Arabidopsis thaliana: one gene and its partners. The protein of the gene in region 2 interacts with the protein of the main gene of each other region in a pairwise test. Each region holds a gene or a part of one and is shown on either strand. Other genes may lie near its edges. The genes, in order: ckl3, ZML2 and CAO.

Region 1 (7,435 bases), on a different chromosome or scaffold from region 2:
TCATAACAAACACTACATTAGCCAATTTGATTATTAATATACAATTTTATATTCAAGACCTAGCAATTTCCTTTTGATTATCTTACTTTCTTTTTCCAGTTACCAATTATGAAATTATATGCCCAATCATATAAGATATATTTATAATTATCTGATGTGGGATTCTGACTCCTCTGATTTTTTCTTTGTAATATATTTATATGCCACTAAACTTAAAATAGATGTATATTTTGTCCTTCATATAAGCATATAACAGTCTTAAAAATAAGTGGAACACCTTCTTCTTTTTCATGTCTTATTTTGGAACCTCTTTCTTAACTTTGTAACGAAGGACACCACGATGGAACCTGGGCTGCTTCGAGTGCAGGTGCAGCACCGTAGATGAAACTTTTTAAGTTTGTATGATGTAAAAACAAAATGGGAAACGATTCAAAGAACATGTTATAATGCGAAATAGGTAGATGAGGCCAAAGATTGTTGTTATGTAAAAAGCAAGTCATTGCATCATCATACTTATCATGTGGTCCAACTTATGCCGATTACGAATGGAAGTTAAATTTAAAATAAATTATTAAATAGAACCTAACGAAACTATTTTATATTATAGGTGTATTAGGTTGAATATGGACCTGTTTTAGAATAACGCCCCTTTCTTTCTAGTAGAGTTCAGTCTTCTTTGGAGTTGGTATCGGATCAAATTTTCGTTTAAAAACAATAATGATGTAGCTTAATTCAAATTGTAGTAAATTACTTTCAATTTAATTTTTGTTTTGGTTTTCAATTACTTAGGTTCCGTCTGGATTTGATTTCAATTTTCACAATATATAAAGATAACAGAAATATTTAAAAGCAAATATTGAAGAGTATATGATACTAATTACTAAACACTATGAAGAAATTTAAGACAAACTTACTTTAGTTTACACAAATTGGATTTTCCCTTATGGCCTAAGATAGGTTTCCATTACAGCTGTACAAATACAACCTACACCTGGTCACCTGCCTCTTCCATGATGATGATTTCTCCGACCGAGCGCATCAAATCGTTTTTCAACTGGCTTCATGAGCTCTCAAACATTTTATTCTCTCCCAGAATAGTTTCTTACTCACTGTCTCCGAGTTATTTGAATCCCATGTTGACTCTCAAAATCTTTCCTCATAAATCAATTGCACAAAAATAAGAATCGAACTTGGGCGTCTGTGAAAGAAACCTGTGCATTGCTAAGCCTTTTGAAGACTCATCTCAGCTCAAGCTTGGCTCTGGATTTCTGCAAAGAATGACGCTATCCATTAACATGTATACATATATCAAGCTGCAGCAAAAGGTCATTGATCACATAGCAAAGAGTAGCTAAAAATGATATGTATGAATCACATAACAAGATTACACATCCGGGTGTAAGAATTATACAAAGGTTGGGGGAAATCTTTGAATGAAAAGCACACATACACTTTCATGTCTTGTGTGTGTAAACACAAATGCTTCAACCAACGCCTTCTTGTCCACACACACTTCAGAGAATTTACATAGAAACCATTGCATCTTTCTTCCAGCCAAAGGTGGAGGAGATACAAAGGTGTTAGTGACACCAAGTTCTGATTTCTGCTGTAGTTTCAGAGGTGAATTAAGGGCACGGAGTCACATTAACAGCGCATCATCTCACTCACCATTTCAGGAAAAAGCTACATTTTCTTTGCATCATTTCTCTGGAGACATGAATGACGAAGTCCAACCAGTTCTATTCCCACTCCCATATCCAGAATTTGAGGTTTCGGGTCCGACATTTCTTTTTGAGGTACCCGCAGGAGATAATGAAGTGGATGGCATGTTCATCTGCAATGGGTTTTCAGTAAAATAACAGTCAAGGGAACTCATCTCGAAGATCAATATATTGTTTCATTAATTCATGACAATTGACAAAGCGATACTGGTAAAATCAGTTTTCAGGGAACCATGAAGTGTTCTGAGAGTAATACTATACATGACATGCTAACACAAGCAACGAGTTTGCAGAATAAAACGGTTCTTTGGAAGAGGCAAATGCAGAAATACGTACATTCTTGTGGACAGGGTGATCAAACCCCGGAGTCCTCCCTGCAGCAGTATTATTATTTATCTGTGGGCTTGGACCAATGGCATTAGCCGATCTGACGCGTTCAGAGGCCTCGGCTTCATAAGAAATATTTGGTCCTCCTGCCAAACAGAGCGTCAGAAAACAGAGATTTCAAAATAAACAATTGCAACAACAAGCTATTAATTAGAGCTAACCCCGATGATTGCTTGTGTCCACTGGCATTGCACGAGGATTGCTAGACCCAGGAACTGCCTGCAGTAGAAATGACAATACTTTTTGTTAGTAACAAGAAAGGTGACACAGCAGCAAATTAAGATTGAGAAAACATTGAAAACTATACCTGAGACTGATTTCTAGATTTCTGTGCTTGTTGATACTTTATGATAGTCCAGTCAAATATATAGTCGAACTCATATCCTGCAAAAGAGAACATATAATAGTGAGGTAGGTAGATGATGCCGGTGAACCTTATCAGCTGAGTGAACTATGAATGATGAAGAGATGTCTTTATCCAAAGTACCTACCTTCCCGCGAAAATAAATCACGAAAAAGCCGCTTCAAGAATCCATAATCTGGGCGCTGATCAAATGTCAGTGTATGGCAGTAATGAAAATATGATGCAAACTCCACAGGGTGATTTTTGCATAGCACCTGCAATGGGATATCGATATATACTTAGTCGAATGAGGATTAACAAAAAAAGAATCAATCACACAATAGGGAAACATACCTCAATGGGAGTTGATATCTTCTTCTCACAGATTTTATCATACTTTTGCTTCTTGTCAACAGCCTTAAGACCCTGCCATGGAAGACTAGAAAAGGACGTTCATGAAATGAGGAACACAAAAAACAGTTAAGTAAATCTCTAAAAACAAGGAATAGAAATACCCTGCGAAATAACATAATGTTAACTAGTTTCTTTCAAAAAGACAACACACCTTCCTCTTAGGAAATACAGAAGCACATATCCCAGCGATTCTAGATCATCCCGTCGACTTTGCTCTGTGAAGAGAACCCAAAATATGAGCAAAAGCGATTTACTTTTACATAAGGATAAAGAATGCCAGCATTTCTTACCAATTCCAAGATGTGTATTGCAACTTGCATATCGTGCAGTTCCTGTTAAATTCTTGTTTTCCCTGAATATAGCCGAATAAAGGAAATAAGTTGTATAATGATTAACGTGACCGTAAAACTTAAAAACAGATAGATCATTTACAATCTGTATATTGAACCAAGGCCACAATACCTGTAAGGGATGTGGCGGTTGGTGTTGGCATCCCGATATCTTTTGGCAAGTCCAAAGTCAATTAGATAAACCTGAAAAATGAGACTTATCAATCATACCATACTCTACTTATGGCATCTGATGAAGATAAGAAGTTGCAGAAATATACCTGATTTGCTTTCCGACCTAGGCCCATGAGGAAGTTATCGGGTTTAATATCTCTATGCAGATATCCTTTCGAATGTACAAATTCTATTCTTGTTAGCTGTAACAGCGGGATAAGAAAATCGGAAGCACATTAGATAATCAATGTATAAGTCAACAGATATTATAAATAGCCTAATGAATAGTTGAAAGTCATGCCATACCATTTGATCAGCCAACATCAAGACTGTCTTTGGTGAGAATTTCCTCCCACAGTAGACGAAAAGATCTTCGAGACTTGGACCGAGCAAATCCATCACTAAAGCATTCTCTGTTCCATCAACTCCAAACCATTTTATGCGCGGAATTCCACCTGACACATAACATAAAAATTAGTATTGTACTGCTAATGAATCCCTCCAATGTCCAACAACTGAGAAAAGAGAGGAAAGAGAATCATACTTCCTCCTTCAAGAATTCTATATAGCTTAGCTTCATAGAGAAGTTGAGGATGCTTTGTTTTACTGTTCTCCTGCAAGAGAAAATGATTGAATTAAAAACAAGTGTTAGCTTGAAGAATATATTGCAGCTAAAAAGCACCGAGTTTAAAACCTTGCTCAATTTTAGAGTAAAGCAATTCAAACAAAATCAATTAAGAGACATAGCAGATCCAAATCAAATCTCCAGATTGGATGGATTCAATTCGTCTCAAGGCAAATTGAGCTGGGACTTACGATCTTAACAGCTACGATCTCGAAGGTATCGACGTGCGTAGCTGCGAAAACAACAAACAGAAGAGAAGAGCGTCAATTTCAAATAAAAAAGCAAACTCGGAAAACCAAAGGGACAAGAACAGAGGAGAACACAAAACCTAGAAAAATCTCTCCGAACGAACCACCGCCGATCTTCCGTCCGAGCTTGTACTTGCCGCCGATGATGCGTTCCATGGCAGCTCCAATCAGAACCGAATCTGGATCAAGCGCAAGGATAGAGATAAGGATTTAGGGTTGTTGTTTAGAAGATTGAAATTAGAGGAACTTAAAAACATATATTATTATTTTTGTTTGACTGACATCGGTGGTAGTGACATGGACCCAGGCTTGTTTGAGCCGTAGTAGTGATCCTTCAAAAAAAAATTTGTACACCTAACTACTGCACCATTTTGGGTCCGCCAATCTTTTTTTACCTTATAAACAAACACGAGGGTATTTACGTGATTTTGTAATGTCACGCTGGCACGGTGGATGATTTGATGATTTCCGTTTTTGGGGTCTGCAAAATGATGAAGGTTCGAAAATTTAATGGGTTGGCTGATTTTCGAGTCATAAACTATTTCGATTCTTAGTTTTCACTCCCGGATTTTTGGGCCCTTAAATTTCCACCATCAATTTTCATATTCCTCAAAATTACATCATCTACTTTCGAATTCATGATTAAACATACATTTTCAATTGAACCATTCATTTAACCGGGATTAACCACAAATCCGCGTTTACTGTACCGCGATTGTGATTAACCCGACTAATACCCAGACCCGTTAAGAAAACGACGTCGTTTTCATTCTTCTTCTTTAACTCTCAAATCGATTTGGTAGTCCTCTTCTTTTGACTTTCATCTCTGTCTCCATCGTCTTCTAGATTGACGTCTCCATCAGACGCTATGTCACCATCGTCTTCTCTATTTTCCTCTCCATCAGAAGCTCTGTCTCCATCTATCCCGACGTCCTCTCCCTCGATTCTGGTGGCTTCGTCCTCCTCGACTCCGCTATCACCACTATCACTTCCATCGTCGGCTTCAATGTCACTCTCTGGAGGTTCGAAATCGGGGTCATCTGGATCGCTTTGGTAAATCAATCTTTCCTCCCACCAATTCTTCATTTCTCCCTATTCGAAACCCAAATCGAGACCCAAAAATTCGAACCGAAGAAGAAAACCCCAAATCCCCTTTTGTCTTTCTCTCTCAAGAACCCTAATTTCACAGTGTCGAGATTAAAGAAGAACGACTAAATCGATTTGAGAGTTAAAGAAGAAGAATGAAAACGACGTCGTTTTCTTTCTCTTTTTGATGAGTTAAACGAAATGAAAACGACGTCGTTTTCTTAACGGGTCTGGGTATTAGTTGGGTTAATCGCAATCGCGGTACAGTAAACGCGGATTTGTGGTTAATCCCGGTTAAATGAATGGTTCAATTGGAAATGTATGTTTAAGCATGAATCCAAAAATAGATGATGTAATTTTGGGAATATGAAAGTTGATGGTGGAAATTTAAAGGCCCAAAAGTCCGGGTGTGAAAGCTGAGAATCGAAATAGTTTATGGCTCGAAAATCAGCCAACCCAAATTTAATCCACTAACTAGTTCTCTACCAAATCGATCAATTCTAGGTGTTTGTATTTCAATATTGAGACTACAATTTTATACGTTTTTTTTTTTTAATAATAGCAATTGAAAATGCATGTTTGGATCAAGTCAAGCTTTTTGATATAATTTTTTTCAATGCACAAAATCGAGTAAGAAAAATCAAACACAGAATACCATTAAACTGAATAGGAAATTCAGAGAAAAAAAAAGGGGGAAGTGTTTCTCGGAGCATTCCAGAAGCTAGCCATAGCTTATCCTTTTACGTTCTCGTCAGCTGCACATTAGCTTGATGGTGACATGTCCCTGCCACAAGCAACTCTTGACTCAAGCCTTTGAAGGCATCTCTGCTGAAGCTGCTCATGCTTTGCTCTTGATTTTCTGCAAACAATGTTGATGACACAGCAAACCCAGGTTATGCCCCAACACAGGGAACTACGTACAGAAATACGAACAAAGTTTTATAGAAGAAAACTTGGGAGAATGAATCACAAGAACCAAATTACACGCCCGGTTGCAAGATTTTATACAAAGGTTGAAGTCAGTCATTTGTGAGAATCTTGAAGGAAAGCAAACATAATCTTCATGCCTTTTGTCAAACAGTAAGCTGTTCATGGAAAAACTCCATTCAGATCTTCAACCTCAGTCTAGAGCTTTTCACTGCAGAAATCACAGTTTAGACCCAAAGGCACACATAATCTTGCTCAGCAGATCAGATGAATGATATACTCCAACTTTTTTTGCATCATTTCCCCGGTGACATGAATGGTGAAGTCCAACCGCCGGTTTTATTCCCGCTCCCAAACCCAGAATTTGAGGTTTCGGGTCTGACATTTCTTTTTGAGGTACCCGCAGGAGATAATGAAGTGGATGATGGCATGTTCATCTGCAATGGGTTTTCAGTAAAATAATGGTCAAGAGCATATTTCGTGATGATCAGTATCGTGTTTTAATCATTTATGCTATATGTAGTTCATATCACAATATAGAGCTCGTTGATGACAATTGACCATGCAAAACAGGTAAAAGCTTTAAGCAGAGAACCATGCAGAACTCTGAAGCAACACAGATGCAGGCATGAGATGCTAACACAAGGGGGAGGGTTGCAGGATACAACATTTATTTGGAAGAGGCAAATGAATAAGCACGTACATTCTTGTGGACTTGATCAAAACCCAGACTCCTCCCTACAGCGGTATTAATCTGTGGGCTTGGACCACTGGCATTAGCCGGTCTGACACGGTCAGAGACTTGGGCTTCATGTGAAATCTTAGTTCCTCCTGCCAAACGGAGAGTTAGCATCAAGATATTGAAATAAACAGTTGCAACGGGAAACTAAATCAGCCAAACACTCTATGCCAGTTGAGTCCAGTGTGAAAGTCGAGAGAAAACAAAAAACACATCATATACTATTACAAAATTAATCAGAAAGTGACACAATTAAAATTTATAACTCGAGCTGACCTCGATGATTGCTTGTGTCCATTGGTATTGCACGAGCATTACTAGACCCAGGAACGGCCTGCAGCATGACAGTTTATTGTTAGGAAGACAGGCATATCTATATTTAGCACCAAAACTAAAAAATAGCAAAACCAAGTAAAACTTCTCCCCAGGAAATCTTCTCTAT
Region 2 (7,435 bases):
GGAAGATGATTTTGAGCTCAGAGTGATGATAGGGCTCGGCGGAGGTCTTCTGTTCTCTGCGTGTTGTCCATTAACTTGAAGCTAAGCAAAAGATCTTTCTTTTTCCTTTTTTTTTTTTTTCTAAATTTTATTTTTAATTTTGGAAAATTTAAAAAATCCCAAAATTCAGTGAAATTTAGTAACAAAAAGAAAAATTAAAACTTTGAAGATATAACAAAAACCCAAAATCAAAATCATCAAAAAGATCTTTTACAATTTTCCCTATTTTCGAAGATAATAATCTTTTGTCCACAAAGATTATAAGAATATTCTTTTATACCATTTATTTCCAAAGCTTAGCTCTCATAAATTAACTAATAACATTGTAATGTAGTTTATCAGAAAAATTGAAATGTAATGACTGGTATGCTAAAAAGTCAATATAAATATTATTAAAAAATGAAACTATGAGAAGATTTTCAGATTTTCATGATAAGATGAGACAATTCACTAGAAGAGAAAATGCAAGAAATAAGATTTTGTCTATTAAGCTAAAATAAAAACAAAAATGGAATCTAAAATATCTCTCACAAATTGGGATATTTTAAAGTCTCTTTTTTTTTTTTTTTTTTTTTTGATCTAAGGGATATTTGAAAGTCTTTTAGGCAAAATTCTGTGTAAAAATCTTTGCCACTGAAAACAAAGGAGCAGTCACATTCGCACTGAACCATTTTAGTTTGTCTCCTTGTTTTGGCAAGTTCCTTTGGCAAGTTCCTTTGGCTAATAATATCACAATTCACAAGCCTCTTTTTGTTTCTTGACTTAGAGAAGCATGAGGCATTGAACATGGTTCACTTTACATGAGGCTACTAAGTCTCCAAAACAACCCTGTGGTCATAAGGAGACTACTCTTTTGGTGAGTTCTTAAATAAAGTTAGTTTGTCTTTAAAATAGGGTAAAACACAGACTGCAACTAGACGTTACATCAGAGTATGGACCAATGCAACAACAGTCTATAAAGCATTTTTGAATCATAAAAAAAGAAGAAGCAAAACATTGCAGATCATTATCACTCAGATTACATTGTCATAGATCAAATCCTGATAACCTAAATCGAGTCAGATTCTTTCAAAGGGAATGATAAAGCTACAGAACCTGAGGCGATTCAAACTCTGTTGGGATCTTTCTCTTGCTTGTAATGGCAAGAGCCAACATGTCCTCACTGTGAGTTGCTTATGTCATTGGCCACTGTTATCATTATTTGATGATCAGTCTCAAGATTTGCATCCTGCAAAGATAGATCAGACATGCACAAGTTATGATAAAGACGAATGGATTCCTTTTCGTACAACAAATTGTTTGGTCAAAACATGATGTTGCTTACTTCATTCTTATTTAAAGGAAGATTCTGGGCTGTTTGAGGAGAGGCTTTGGATAAGTCCCTAAAAGCACCCTGAAAGTATAAATGTCGTCCTCATTTAGACAGACTAATCATCGAATCACTAGTGCTACAAAATGAGCAAGATAAAGAGAGTTGATCAAATTAAGAAGCAAGTATTGTCTTGCCTTGTTTGCCCACATAAGTCCACATGCATTGCAAAGTGTTCTTGGCCCGGCAGGTCCACGTCGCATCATTGGAGTTGACTTCTCGCCAATTCCACAGTGCCGACATCTTACAGGTATCAAGCCATTCAGAGGAAGTAAAATCAGATATGTTCTTACCAACTAAAGTAAGGCTATCAAGAAGAAAAACTCAAATCTACAAAGACTTAAACGACAATTGTCTATTCCAAAGTTATTATAAAAATTCTCAGTTCCAGGATACAATATTAGTCATCACAACCTGTCTTAACCAATCATCTATCACAGAAGTCATTTTGCTTCAGGCATGGAAGAGCTTTTATATAATATTTTGTCTGTATTGGTCCTTCAATGTTACCAATTCGTATAGGTCCATGCTCATGTTAAATATTACATATGCAATGTGTATGTCTTGATATTGAATCATTGATAGGTTTCAGAGTTCTAGTACCTCTACAACGTTTCTGAAACCAAAAACAACATCTAAGATGCTTAATAAACCTATCATCTCTACATTAGGATGGTTCAGTTTAATAACTAAGTCAGATGCTACATTAGGTTGGAAGCAAAAACAACTTCTAAAGTTGCTTAGCAAACCCATAATAACTACGTTAAGTTGGTTCAAGTTAAAAAGTATGTCAGGAACTCGCAGTTTACTTTCAAAGCATTTCTAAACTTACGAGATCTCTTGATGCTGAGCCTCACTACTTTCTATGGCCCAGGTTTGATTCGACCCCCAGCTAGATCCAGCAGATGCAGCTTCATCATTGTTTGACTTGGCAGATGTGAACTGACCTTTATTGCGTTGCATCCTGTATACCAGAAAACAAAAAGTAATCAAGATGCGAACCTTAATTTTGGGAGAGCAACCATAAAAGAAGTATAACTAGACCAAGTTGTTGATTTAGACATCAATGTACCTCAAAGCTACCTCCTTGCGGACTGTATACCGAATCTTCTTATCAAAATTCCTTCCTTTCCGTTTCTCTCGAAATCTGACCAAAGAAGCTAATCGCTGCGGAATACTAAACCTTTGAGGAGTACCAGGTAAACTCTGTTTCATTGATTAGTCAGTCAGTCAGTCAAGCAATGTATCAAGGAAGGGAACTTATGTCCCATAAATGCCATCATATATTTTATTACCGATACTCTGTTGTTCTGATGAGGTGATCCTAGGCCAGGAGGGGCTGCCTGAGGTAATTCACGACCACCCAATAATAGAAGCACAGCTTGAACCTGCAACAGGCGTCGAATAGCAAGAGGCACTCACACATTAGAATCAATAGATGGAAAAAACTCAAAGCTAACTAGATCCTTCAACCACTTGCTAAAATGTGGCTTGGAGTAAGAATATAAATTCTAATGGAATGAGACAATCAACGAACCAACTCAGTAACAACTTAACTCACCTTCTCAGGCAAGACACTGTCAAAAACGTAGACTTGGCCCTGAAAAGACAATGTTAACTGATCTCCTTGTTCACTACCACGGTCGACCACTTCACCACGATTGTCAGTTACATTTCCAGGGTGAGAAGGAATGTCTGTTTCCACACCCTCACTCATCCCACCAGCATTGCCATCATCAGCCTGGTCATCAACCATACCGCTTCCATTGTGGATGTGATGCAAAGCATGATGTTCAAATTGCACATGCATTGGATCTTGAGCTTCTCTAATGTGCATTCGAGCATTGCTTCCATGTAGGTCATCCATGGTTGCTTTTCATCAATCTACCTAATGATAACAGTGAAAGTAAAACAAATTAACATTAAAACTGGAAACTTCAAACAAAAACACCTAATCTTCATAAGCACGATTCATGGATGACCAGACAAATCAAATCAGCTCTAAGCAAAACATGATTCACATACTATATAACCTTACTTCCTCGGTCATTGGAGCAACTTACATATAAGTTCTAACTAACACTATACATAAATTCAGGAAACCTTATGGATCAATGCTTGTTTTCAAGAGATTAACACAGACTTCTAACATATTTGCATCAATCAGATTCAATCCAAAGTTTCAATATTTCCACGCTCTAAGCCTTACATAAACCATATTATACCAATTCCACAAACTCACTTATAATTTCAACAAACAAAATAAACCCTAAGAAACAAAAGCAAATCCTGAAACAAAGCGACATCCAAAACCATTGAAATATAGGTTCCTCATTACGACACACGAAACCAATATAAGAGTTAAGATGATGTTACCTGTTCGTGGGGAGCAACACCAAAAAGAGAAGAATGAAAGATGTTCGAAAGACCCAAACGAGAAACACCAAATAACACGACGGAAACGATGAAGATGACAATTGAACCGATGGATAACGCCACAAATAGAAGAACAGAGACAAACCAAACCCACCAGAACACCAACGAGACGAAAATGGAAACCAGATAGAAAGAGAAATCGAAGAAAGAGACGAACCAGTGGGGGCTAAAGAGACTCGATTGATTATTTTATCATCAAAAGAATAAATAAGCAAAAGTGCCGGAGATATAAATAAATACTTTTCTTTTGGTTTTTGGGTAAAGTTTCGTTTTTTAATTCTTTCTTCGTCTTCCTCCTTCTAACTACTAAAATCGGATCTATAACTTTTGTTCTTTGAGAGACTTATTTCTCTCTCGGTTTCTTACTCTTTTCGGATCAGAAATTTAAAAGCTTTTAACTTTTGTCTTGCTCTGTTTCATGGACACTGATTTCTCAATTGGTCTCTGTTTTTGTTGAGTGGGTTGAGAAGAGAGATGGCGAGAAGTAGATCGATTAGTGGTTATGGGATATGGAAATATTTGAATCCTGCGTATTATCTTAGAAGACCGAGACGTTTGGCTTTGCTTTTCATTGTCTTCGTCTCTGTTTCTATGCTTGTCTGGGATCGTATTAATCTTGCCCGAGAACATGAGGTATGTTTTGTCTAATGAAATCTGGTTAGACTCTGCCTAGGAGTAGGAGATAGTTCTTGTATCATAGCTTATTGGTAGGCCAATTCGAATTTTGGTGAAGTAGGTTATATGGTTTAGGCCTGGAATGGTTTGATTGCCTTCATAGCTCAAGGTCTATAAGTAAGACAGTTGGTGTTTTATTTACTAGAAAAGAGCTGTAATTAATATCTTCTGGACTCAATTCATGTATTCGTTTATAAGAAGCTATGTAACCAAAATAAGAAAAATGTCAAGGAAGTGAACAATTTCTCTTGTGATCATTCTCTCACTTGTCCTGCTTTTTTTTGTCTTGCAGGTTGAAGTTTTTAAGCTAAATGAAGAAGTTTCACGGTTGGAGCAGATGGTAAGATTAATATTTTCCCCTCACTCTAGGCTCAGATAGTCTTTCTAATGTTTTAGCTAACTAACTATATTTTCCGCTAGTTAGAAGAGCTTAATGGTGGTGTTGGCAATAAGCCTTTGAAGACTCTGAAGGATGCCCCAGAAGATCCAGTTGATAAACAGCGAAGGCAGAAAGTAAAAGAGGCAATGATCCATGCTTGGAGCTCTTATGAAAAGTATGCATGGGGGAAAGATGAGCTTCAGGTATACAATTATTTTCCAAAATACATTTCACCCTTGTGAATACGAAATCTAGTTTACGACGGACTCTATGAATCAAATTTTATTTTGACGTTTAGTGCCTGCTCTTCCAGTATCCTGTTGAGCCTTTTATTATGAGCTTATCTGAAGTTACCAGGCCTACAAAGATTTTGTTAAGAACTAAGATTATTTTCTTCCTGAACTCTGCAAAAAAAATATTGGTCTGAAGCTATTCTTGTTTCTTTCCTTTTTTTATTGTCAGCCTCGGACAAAAGATGGCACTGATAGCTTTGGTGGCCTTGGAGCAACTATGGTAGATTCTTTAGATACACTCTATATAATGGGTCTAGATGAGCAGTTTCAAAAAGCCAGAGAGTGAGTAATTGCAGGCTCTTCATTTATTCATATGTAACTGTTTTCGTCCCAGTTGCAAATCCAACTTTTTACTTCTTCATCTTTGCTAATCTTCATTTGCTTATTGTCTTTTATTTGCAGGTGGGTTGCAAGCTCATTGGATTTCGACAAGGATTATGACGCCAGTATGTTTGAGACAACCATAAGGTGGCTTTAACAGGTTTACTGTGGTTGTTTTCTGTAATTATCGTAGGAAGAGTCAGTTTATTTGCGATTATCAGTTGGTGACATAAGATGGGGAACGGATATTGCATCTGCTTATATTCTTTTTCTTTATCTGCCTTCAGAGTTGTAGGCGGACTTCTTAGTGCGTATGATCTTTCTGGGGACAAAATGTTCCTTGAAAAGGCTAAGGATATTGCAGACAGATTATTGCCTGCATGGAATACTCCAACGGGTATACCTTACAATATTATCAACTTGAGAAATGGAAATGCTCACAATCCTTCATGGGCGGCAGGGGTGAGTCCTAGATTACTGAGTGCCGTGTATGTTGTATTGTGTCATCTTGTGTCATGTAGATCTTTTTAAAGCCTAACCTTGGAATCCAATGATTGGATACAAATCTTTATTCGTTTCTAGAAAAAATGGCTCCTGAAACTCTGTGCACTTGTTCTGTAGTTGACTTAGGTTCCTGATTATGTTTCTAAAGGACTCCTTAGAGTCTATTTGATAGCTTAAATCCAAGTTCTGACCACTTTCTTAGATGATTCAACCCCGTATAAAAACTAAGATCTGGACTCGGCAGAAACAGCCAAGTTATGGTTTCTCTGTATGCAACAATTAACATTCTTGTTTGGGGTCTAGACTTTTAAACAGGTGTTACGTTTAGAGTTTATGGTAGCTATAGTTTCTTAACTAACTATATATTCACTAGCAATCATATGCAGTGTCTTTGAAATGAGTACCAAGTGTGATCAGGTTTAGATATGTTTCAGTTTCATTGAGGACATGTGCTGTGTCAGTTTTACTGATTGCTACACTTTTTTTTTGTTTTACTAGGGAGACAGTATTCTCGCAGACTCCGGCACTGAGCAGCTCGAGTTTATTGCCCTTTCCCAAAGGACAGGGGACCCAAAATATCAGCAGAAGGTAGATACTAATTTTGAGTTTGTCCAACAGATTTTCTTTATATCCTAACTCGGTGTGAAAAAGTGGGCAATCAATCTGCATTAATGCTGAAGAAAATATTGGCTGCTCAAGATTGACACGTTTGCTAACTCATGTCTCTCAGGTAGAGAAGGTTATTACAGAACTGAATAAGAACTTTCCTGCTGATGGTTTACTTCCCATCTATATAAATCCGGATAATGCTAATCCATCGTACTCTACCACAACATTTGGTGCCATGGGAGATAGGTAGTTTCTTCCTCCAAATTTTCATTTTGTGTTGGTCGGGTCTTGTGACCATGACTTTGCTCTCTAACTTTTAATAATAATTTGGTTTTACAGCTTTTATGAGTATTTGCTCAAAGTTTGGGTGCAAGGGAACAAAACATCTGCCGTGAAACCCTATAGGTAAGTAAAGCTCGACGCTGTGTATATACACCCAAGTAATTCAATATCAGCAATAAAGGATAAGGACTAAATCTTTCTTAATGTATTGAATCAGAGATATGTGGGAGAAATCAATGAAAGGTTTGTTAAGCTTGGTCAAGAAATCAACACCTTCATCATTTACGTATATATGTGAGAAGAACGGAAATAATTTGATTGATAAGGTAAAAACTATTCTAATTTCAACTCTCTACTTTGAGAATTTTGTTGGTTTTGACATAATTTCAACATTCAGATGGATGAATTGGCGTGCTTTGCTCCTGGAATGTTGGCTTTAGGAGCTTCAGGTTATGGCCCTGATGAAGAAAAAAAGTTTCTTTCACTTGCTGGAGAGGTGCCTTAGAATCTCAATTGTATGTTGAGTAT
Region 3 (7,435 bases), on a different chromosome or scaffold from region 2:
ATTGAGTCATCGATCCAATGAACTTATTCACTGCTTCAATTTTATGAAATATCATTATTTTAACGTAAACATCATTACTAGTGTTTTTATCATCAAATTACCGATTTAGTGTAAGTAAATCGAATCAGTTTTTAAATACTGTTGGACACATATATACATAGACATGCCAATTACTCAAGTATCATGTTGGTTTGCATATACTCTAGTTTTAATCAGGGTTTATATTATTTCAATTTAAGTAAACGCATGCTAAATGATAGATCATGAAATAGAATTAGGGTATCCATTGTTTAATGAAATGAATCGTTGAACTGGTATAACATGCAAAAAGATAATGTATCCACTATGTAAGCATTATAAGGTGCCGCTATAACAAAAATATCCACATGGTCAAGACTGAAACGTCGCATTATCAAACAATATTACATGCTCAATTGTTAAATTTTCTAGCCAAATTAATAATATCGTCATGGAGGAAAAAAAATAGAGTTGAATAATTGGCAATGATCATAATGGATATGGGTTTCTCAAAAACGCAATCATATATCGTGCGACAAGGTTACAGTAATATAGATATCATGCTTATTCCAAAACGACGACTAAAACGTAAAAGATTACAGAACTAGTAAACGAGTATATAATGTTAGGGAATGTTCTTTAATTTATAATCTAGCTAGTATAAATCACATATCCTATTTCATATGCGAGATATGAACAACAAAGTAGTATACTTAATTGAATCAATAATAATCCAAATTAAATTTATATGGTTTAGATCATAGAGAACCTAAATATCTAAAACTAACAAAGTCTAAACCACCTCGATTAATTGGGAATAGGATGATAATATAAAGTCTAGATTTTGTTTTAGTTCAAAAATCGAAACAAAATCTTACTGTAATTAACTTACTACGTTCCCTTACTGAAGATTGATCACCACACGGTAAAAAAAACACCGTTAAAAGGTTAAACCAAAAATATTGCTAAGAAGACATTATTTGGTTAGTTGAATGAAAAATTAGGGAATGGGAAGTGTGAAACCTACCTAAAATATGGCTATGTAGATGATATTCATTGAAGAGAGAGAGAATATAGAAGTGTAAAAAGAGAAAATGGTGCCAGCTATGAATTAGAAGGATCAAAGCTTTCTCTGAAGCTGTCATCTATCTCTCTCTTTCCTTATAGTGCTCTGTTTCTCTCCACATTCACACACTCTCCCTCTCTCTCTCCATTATTAAATCACTTGTTGTTGTCTTTCTTTTTTCAAACCTTGGAAGCAAGGAATTCTTTTTTGATGATTTAATCGAAAGCTTCTTCCTCCAAACAAACATCAATGGCGGTTTATCCTAACGTTAATGGCGATAAGAAGCACTGGTGGTTCACTCACAGAAAGGTATAAGCGATCTCTAACCTGGAAATACAGTTCTTGATTCAAAGATCATCATCAATCATGTTAACTTTTTTTGGGTTTTCTCAGCTTGTTGATAAGTATATAAAGGATGCAACAACTTTAATGGCAAGTGAGGAGGCAAACGACGTCGCTTCAGCTCTTCATTTACTAGACGCAGCCTTATCTATCTCCCCGCGTTTGGAAACTGCGTTAGAGCTCAAGGCTAGATCTCTCCTCTTCCTCCGTCGTTTCAAGGATGTCGCCGATATGCTTCAGGATTATATCCCCAGTCTTAAACTCGACGACGAAGGATCCGCTTCTTCTCAAGGCTCTTCTTCCTCCGACGGTATCAACCTTCTCTCCGACGCCTCTTCCCCTGGCTCCTTTAAATGCTTCTCTGTTTCCGACTTGAAGAAGAAAGTCATGGCAGGCATTTGTAAAAAATGCGACAAAGAAGGGCAATGGAGGTAATATAACTTTTAACTCTCTTTTTTGTTTTACTTATTACTTTCAAGCAAAACGCAATCGTTGATTTTTAAACGCTGTTTCAGGTATGTGGTGTTGGGTCAAGCTTGTTGCCATCTAGGACTAATGGAGGATGCCATGGTTCTCCTACAAACCGGTAAACGCCTCGCCTCCGCCGAGTTCCGTCGCCGGAGTATTTGCTGGTCCGACGATAGCTTCCTTCTCCTCTCCGAATCCTCCTCTGCTTCTTCTCCACCACCCGAGAGCGAGAACTTCACCCATCTCCTCGCTCACATCAAGCTTCTTCTCCGTCGTCGCGCCGCTGCAATCGCCGCTCTCGACGCTGGACTGTTCTCCGAGTCGATCCGTCACTTCTCCAAGATCGTCGATGGCCGTCGCCCTGCGCCTCAAGGATTCCTCGCCGAATGCTACATGCATCGAGCCGCCGCTTATAGATCCGCCGGTAGAATCGCGGAAGCGATCGCCGATTGCAATAAAACCCTAGCTCTTGAACCCTCGTGTATCCAGGCGTTAGAAACCAGAGCCGCGCTTCTAGAAACGGTCAGGTGTTTTCCAGATTCGCTTCACGATCTAGAACACTTGAAGCTTCTCTACAACACCATTTTACGCGATCGGAAGCTTCCGGGTCCGGTGTGGAAGCGGCACAACGTGAAATACAGAGAGATTCCTGGGAAATTGTGCGTTTTGACAACGAAAACGCAGAAACTTAAGCAGAAAATCGCAAACGGAGAAACTGGGAATGTCGATTATTACGGCTTGATCGGAGTCAGACGCGGATGCACCAGATCGGAGCTCGATCGAGCTCATCTATTGCTATGTCTCAGATACAAACCCGATAGAGCCTCTTCTTTCATCGAACGGTGCGAGTTCACCGATCAAAACGACGTCGATTCGGTTAGAGATCGAGCCAAAATGTCGTCTCTGTTGCTTTACCGTTTGATTCAGAAAGGATACACCGCCGTGACAGCGATCATAGCCGAGGAGCAGAGGAAGAACGCCATTGCTCACGCTCAAAAGATTGAAGAACGCAAACCGGTTGAAAAATCCGGTTCTATTAAGAGAACCGGAAACGCTGAAACGAAACCGGTAAATTCCAATGCGTACCAAGGAGTATTCTGTAGAGATCTCGCTGCGGTTGGGAATCTACTAACCAGGGCTGGTTTCAACCATCCAATCCCGGTTAAATACGAAGCGCTCACCTGCTAAAAAATATTGAACCGAATTTTTTATCCTACCATGTCAGCCACTGGAAACGTCGTCGTTTCCGTAGATTCGTCTTCGGACAGAAAAACAAATCATTCAGCCGTCAAAAAAGAAAATAAAATAAGAAAATATATATACATTTGATGTATGAATACAAATGAAACAATGTATTTAGGTTTGGAAGATTATTCCAACTACAAGAAAATTTTGTCACTTTACTTTTATCTTCAATGTTCGTCTCCTTTGTTTCTTCTTCATCTTCATGTGCATATAAAACGACAGAAGCTTGATTTGCACGTAAATTAAAATACTAGTATCAAAACTTTTTTTTTCATTTTATTATCAAAATTATCTCTTAAGCTATTGAGCACTAATTTATTTTTTATTATTGAGTTCTCGAGATTTGCCTAGAAATAGTCGATGAGTCTGGCTCACGTCAGTAATATTCGGATGAGTCCTTATCTATAAAGTTTGGCTGCCATTTGATGGTATTGGGATGATTAATTTAATTAGGCAAATAAAATATAGATGGTGAAAACTAAATAAAAACTATTCACTTGCTGTATAATAATGTTAATACTCATATCATGTAAATCACTGAAGTGCAAATTCAAAAAAAAAAAAAAAAAAAAATGGTCTGCTTGCCATTTAAAGATGTTTAAAGATGGAGTAAGTATATATACACAAGTCGTAAAATCAAACACAAATAATATATTGACAAACTCATATATCATAATGTATACATACCAATTTAAATCCACAAGAAAATATCATATGAATGAGAAAACCAACCACATTTACAATTTTACTCATATTTATTTTATTGTTTTATATTTTTCTTTTCTTTTTGATGAGAATGTCTTAACACAATTATCTAGTATATAAAGATTTTTTCCAAAAAATAGAAGAACCTGTTGATTTTCTAAAAGTAGAAGAAAATAAGTGCAGTCCATAAAATAAAATCCTATAAAAATGTTAAAACTAGATTCTTTTTTAAAAAACTAAAATTTGCTGCAGACATCTAAAATTTTCGAAAATGATTGGGTGGCTAAGATTTCTTATCCACTAGAAAATCCAGTGAGTCCCGTTAACTCTCTTCTCTTCTCTAGTCTTGTCTTCTATTATGCAAAAGGTCTTCTTGGCCATGGATACTTGTGCTCTAGTAATCCATCAGTCTCTGTCTCGCATCAAACTTTCTCCTCCCAAATCTTCTTCTTCTTCTTCTTCTGCTTTCTCCCCTGAATCCTTACCGATCAGACGGATCGAGCTGTGTTTCCGAGGAGCTATATGTGCCGCCGTACAAAGAAACTACGAAGAAACGACCTCCTCCGTGGAAGAGGCAGAGGAAGATGATGAGTCATCATCATCGTACGGAGAAGTGAACAAGATCATTGGAAGCCGAACGGCGGGGGAAGGAGCCATGGAGTACCTTATCGAGTGGAAGGACGGCCATTCTCCGTCGTGGGTTCCATCGAGCTACATCGCAGCAGACGTAGTGTCGGAGTACGAGACACCCTGGTGGACGGCAGCTAGAAAAGCCGACGAGCAGGCCCTGTCACAGCTCCTGGAGGACCGAGACGTCGATGCCGTGGACGAAAACGGCCGGACGGCTCTGCTTTTCGTGGCAGGTCTGGGGTCGGACAAGTGCGTAAGGCTTCTGGCGGAGGCTGGAGCCGATCTCGACCACCGAGACATGAGGGGAGGCTTGACGGCGCTGCACATGGCGGCTGGTTACGTGAGGCCGGAGGTGGTGGAGGCGCTGGTGGAGCTGGGAGCTGATATTGAAGTGGAAGACGAGAGAGGGTTAACGGCGTTGGAACTAGCGAGGGAGATTCTGAAGACGACGCCGAAGGGGAATCCGATGCAGTTCGGGAGGAGAATTGGGTTAGAGAAAGTGATCAATGTCCTGGAAGGACAAGTGTTCGAGTACGCCGAGGTGGATGAGATCGTAGAGAAACGAGGGAAAGGCAAAGACGTTGAATATCTGGTCAGATGGAAGGACGGTGGAGATTGCGAGTGGGTGAAAGGTGTACACGTGGCGGAAGATGTGGCTAAGGACTACGAGGATGGGCTGGAGTACGCTGTAGCGGAGAGTGTGATCGGGAAGAGGGTGGGAGACGATGGGAAGACCATCGAGTATCTTGTCAAATGGACTGATATGTCTGATGCCACTTGGGAGCCTCAGGACAATGTCGACTCTACTCTTGTTCTACTCTACCAACAACAACAACCAATGAATGAATGATTGATTTTGATGATTACATTCTTCTCAATTTGCTTCTTTCTCATATGTGTTGGTTCATCTGACCGGTTCGGTTGGTACGTACCGGTACATTTTCATTTTCTTTTAAGATGTGATCTTGATGGTTTTTGGCCTTTTGGGGACACTATTTGATTTTATATCCATGCTTTGAATTTTGCTTCCCTTTTTGGGGAGATTCATGATGCTGGCTGACTTGCTCTTTATCGTCCCAGGTTTAGAGAATACATCGTCTTAGGCTTTTCTTTATCTCAAAACCCATTTACATTTAATTGGGCCTATATATTTCATATAGGAAGAGAGTACATGTAAACCCAATACACAACTTTTATTTATGGGTCCGTTTCTTGTAACATTTGTTGGTGATAAAAACAACTTCTGAAGAGTGATAATGTACAACTGCACTTTGCGATTAAGGAAATTATAGAAAGATACAAAGTCTGAATAAATGACTAGAAAATATGAATAAGTAGTATCCATTCTTCTCTAATTCAACATCATTTTTTTTTTTTTTTTTTTTTGACGATATTCGATGCATTGTGTCTATATGAGAGAAATTTTGGTTTGTCAGTTAATGGCTAGACTTTTATTATTATGAGCATCTAGATTTTCAGTGCATGTGATGTTACGTTGATGATGGACATAAGGAGACAAAAAGGACGGAGTTGATTTAGTACACATTTTCGTTTCTTTGTGAATACAACGATCGCCTATTTTTCGTTTGTAATTTTCCTCTTAATTCGAGAGGGGCCTCTAGTCATGTGTGTTACTTCTAGTTATAGTGACATGAACGGATGAGAAAAGTTTCTTTTTGTAAACAACATGCGTACGTAAATCAACCAAATATATTTAGTATAACAACCAAATTACTGTTGGACAACCAACCAAACAACAATTATGTAGATTATAGATTAGAGAAAACAAGGAACTAGGTCGATTAACCGCGACCACATTAGCCAAGTCCTCCAGTCGATTAATATAAATTGATGCCAAATATATTAGTTTTCACTGGGTTTTATATTATACTATCAGACCACAGAAGACATCACGTCACAGTTAACAACACTACATATTTCAGATTTTGTATGAAACGTAACTAGGTTTATATATGAGACCTTTTAACCAATTAAATGATAGTGATATGGTTTGTAACATTGTATTGTATGTATTTTAGTTGATGTGTGTGGTTGGTAAGGTATAAATTAGCTAGTGTTACGAAAAATGACTTCTTGCTTTTTCTTTCAAATTGAACGACGCTCTATTTCACTTAAATAAAACCACATTTAGTTATTTCAATGACAACATACTAAGTTTTTTCTTACATAAATTAAAAAGTAATTTTGGTTTCAGTCCAAATTTTTCTAGTTATAGGAAAGAAAATGAAAGAGTTGCTTTCAAAATATTGAATCCATTGTATTTAATTTTGAATATTGAATAGTATGTACTAAAGTCTTTTCTTTAGTAGACCAATCTAAATACGAACGAAAGTACCAAAACCATACGAAACGGCAAATAATGACATGTGGGGAACACGTAGTTAGATGAGCAGTAAATGGGAAACATATTTTGATGGTTGTCCTCATATTTTCGTGTATCGAGTTAGATAAGGAAACCTGTGAAAATTTATTTCTCAAAAGATTCCGTAAGATTCCGTCGAATATAATTGATATTTCAGTATTTTGGACTGGCAGCGAATATGGCAGACTATACAGATTGATCGTCTTCCGGCGTTGTTATAGACATTAACAAACTTTAACTACTCGTTTGCTTAATTAGGACCATCTGATGACTTTATTCTAAGTTCAAATTTAGATGACCTCTCTTTCTTGAACATATACTTGTTACATACTTAATTCATTGTGTTATTGCAATAAGTGAATTGTGTGGTTATCACTAACACGCTGACGTAAATTTACACGTGTTTATATGAACGCACACGTGTTTTGTAGCTCGAGCAAAAGACCATCTGGTCAACGGACTAGGAGGATCCGGCGTAAATCCTTTATATAATTTTTATCAAAATTATAAGAAGAACAAAAAATGTGCGATTACTATCTGATCTACGTATTCACGTGACAAACAACAATTAATTTCAA

The links.
Region 1: the proteins of ZML2 (region 2) and ckl3 interact in binary tests that used the Arabidopsis thaliana proteins (3 or more experiments, as listed by UniProt).
Region 3: the proteins of ZML2 (region 2) and CAO interact in binary tests that used the Arabidopsis thaliana proteins (3 or more experiments, as listed by UniProt).

The regions. Positions count from the first base shown.
Region 1 is NC_003075.7:14,248,313-14,255,747, reverse strand, and holds ckl3 (casein kinase I-like 3), read right to left. Parts: upstream 4,614-7,435; 5' UTR 4,398-4,613; coding exon 4,322-4,397; intron 4,226-4,321; coding exon 4,185-4,225; intron 3,983-4,184; coding exon 3,913-3,982; intron 3,824-3,912; coding exon 3,675-3,823; intron 3,572-3,674; coding exon 3,476-3,571; intron 3,399-3,475; coding exon 3,328-3,398; intron 3,218-3,327; coding exon 3,156-3,217; intron 3,081-3,155; coding exon 3,017-3,080; intron 2,891-3,016; coding exon 2,806-2,890; intron 2,727-2,805; coding exon 2,600-2,726; intron 2,493-2,599; coding exon 2,416-2,492; intron 2,328-2,415; coding exon 2,270-2,327; intron 2,195-2,269; coding exon 2,058-2,194; intron 1,835-2,057; coding exon 1,700-1,834; 3' UTR 802-1,699; downstream 1-801. Other genes in the region: AT4G28870 (mutator transposase MUDRA protein), read right to left, coding at 5,028-5,327; ckl4 (casein kinase I-like 4), read right to left, coding at 6,551-6,691, 6,958-7,085, 7,270-7,327. UniProt on the Arabidopsis thaliana protein: Protein kinase involved in blue light responses (e.g. hypocotyl elongation and flowering) by phosphorylating CRY2 to reduce its stability.
Region 2 is NC_003070.9:19,129,016-19,136,450, reverse strand, and holds ZML2 (ZIM-LIKE 2), read right to left. Parts: upstream 4,231-7,435; 5' UTR 3,785-4,230; intron 3,297-3,784; 5' UTR 3,276-3,296; coding exon 2,970-3,275; intron 2,797-2,969; coding exon 2,704-2,796; intron 2,615-2,703; coding exon 2,481-2,614; intron 2,373-2,480; coding exon 2,241-2,372; intron 1,652-2,240; coding exon 1,546-1,651; intron 1,433-1,545; coding exon 1,364-1,432; intron 1,268-1,363; coding exon 1,199-1,267; 3' UTR 821-1,198; downstream 1-820. Other genes in the region: MNS1 (alpha-mannosidase 1), read left to right, coding at 4,319-4,477, 4,812-4,859, 4,940-5,101, 5,361-5,473, 5,594-5,659, 5,800-5,974, 6,515-6,604, 6,747-6,871 and 3 more. UniProt on the Arabidopsis thaliana protein: Transcriptional activator that specifically binds 5'-GATA-3' or 5'-GAT-3' motifs within gene promoters.
Region 3 is NC_003071.7:19,468,579-19,476,013, forward strand, and holds CAO (chloroplast signal recognition particle component (CAO)), read left to right. Parts: upstream 1-3,994; 5' UTR 3,995-4,202; coding exon 4,203-5,324; 3' UTR 5,325-5,809; downstream 5,810-7,435. Other genes in the region: AT2G47440 (Tetratricopeptide repeat (TPR)-like superfamily protein), read left to right, coding at 1,334-1,393, 1,478-1,857, 1,942-3,082.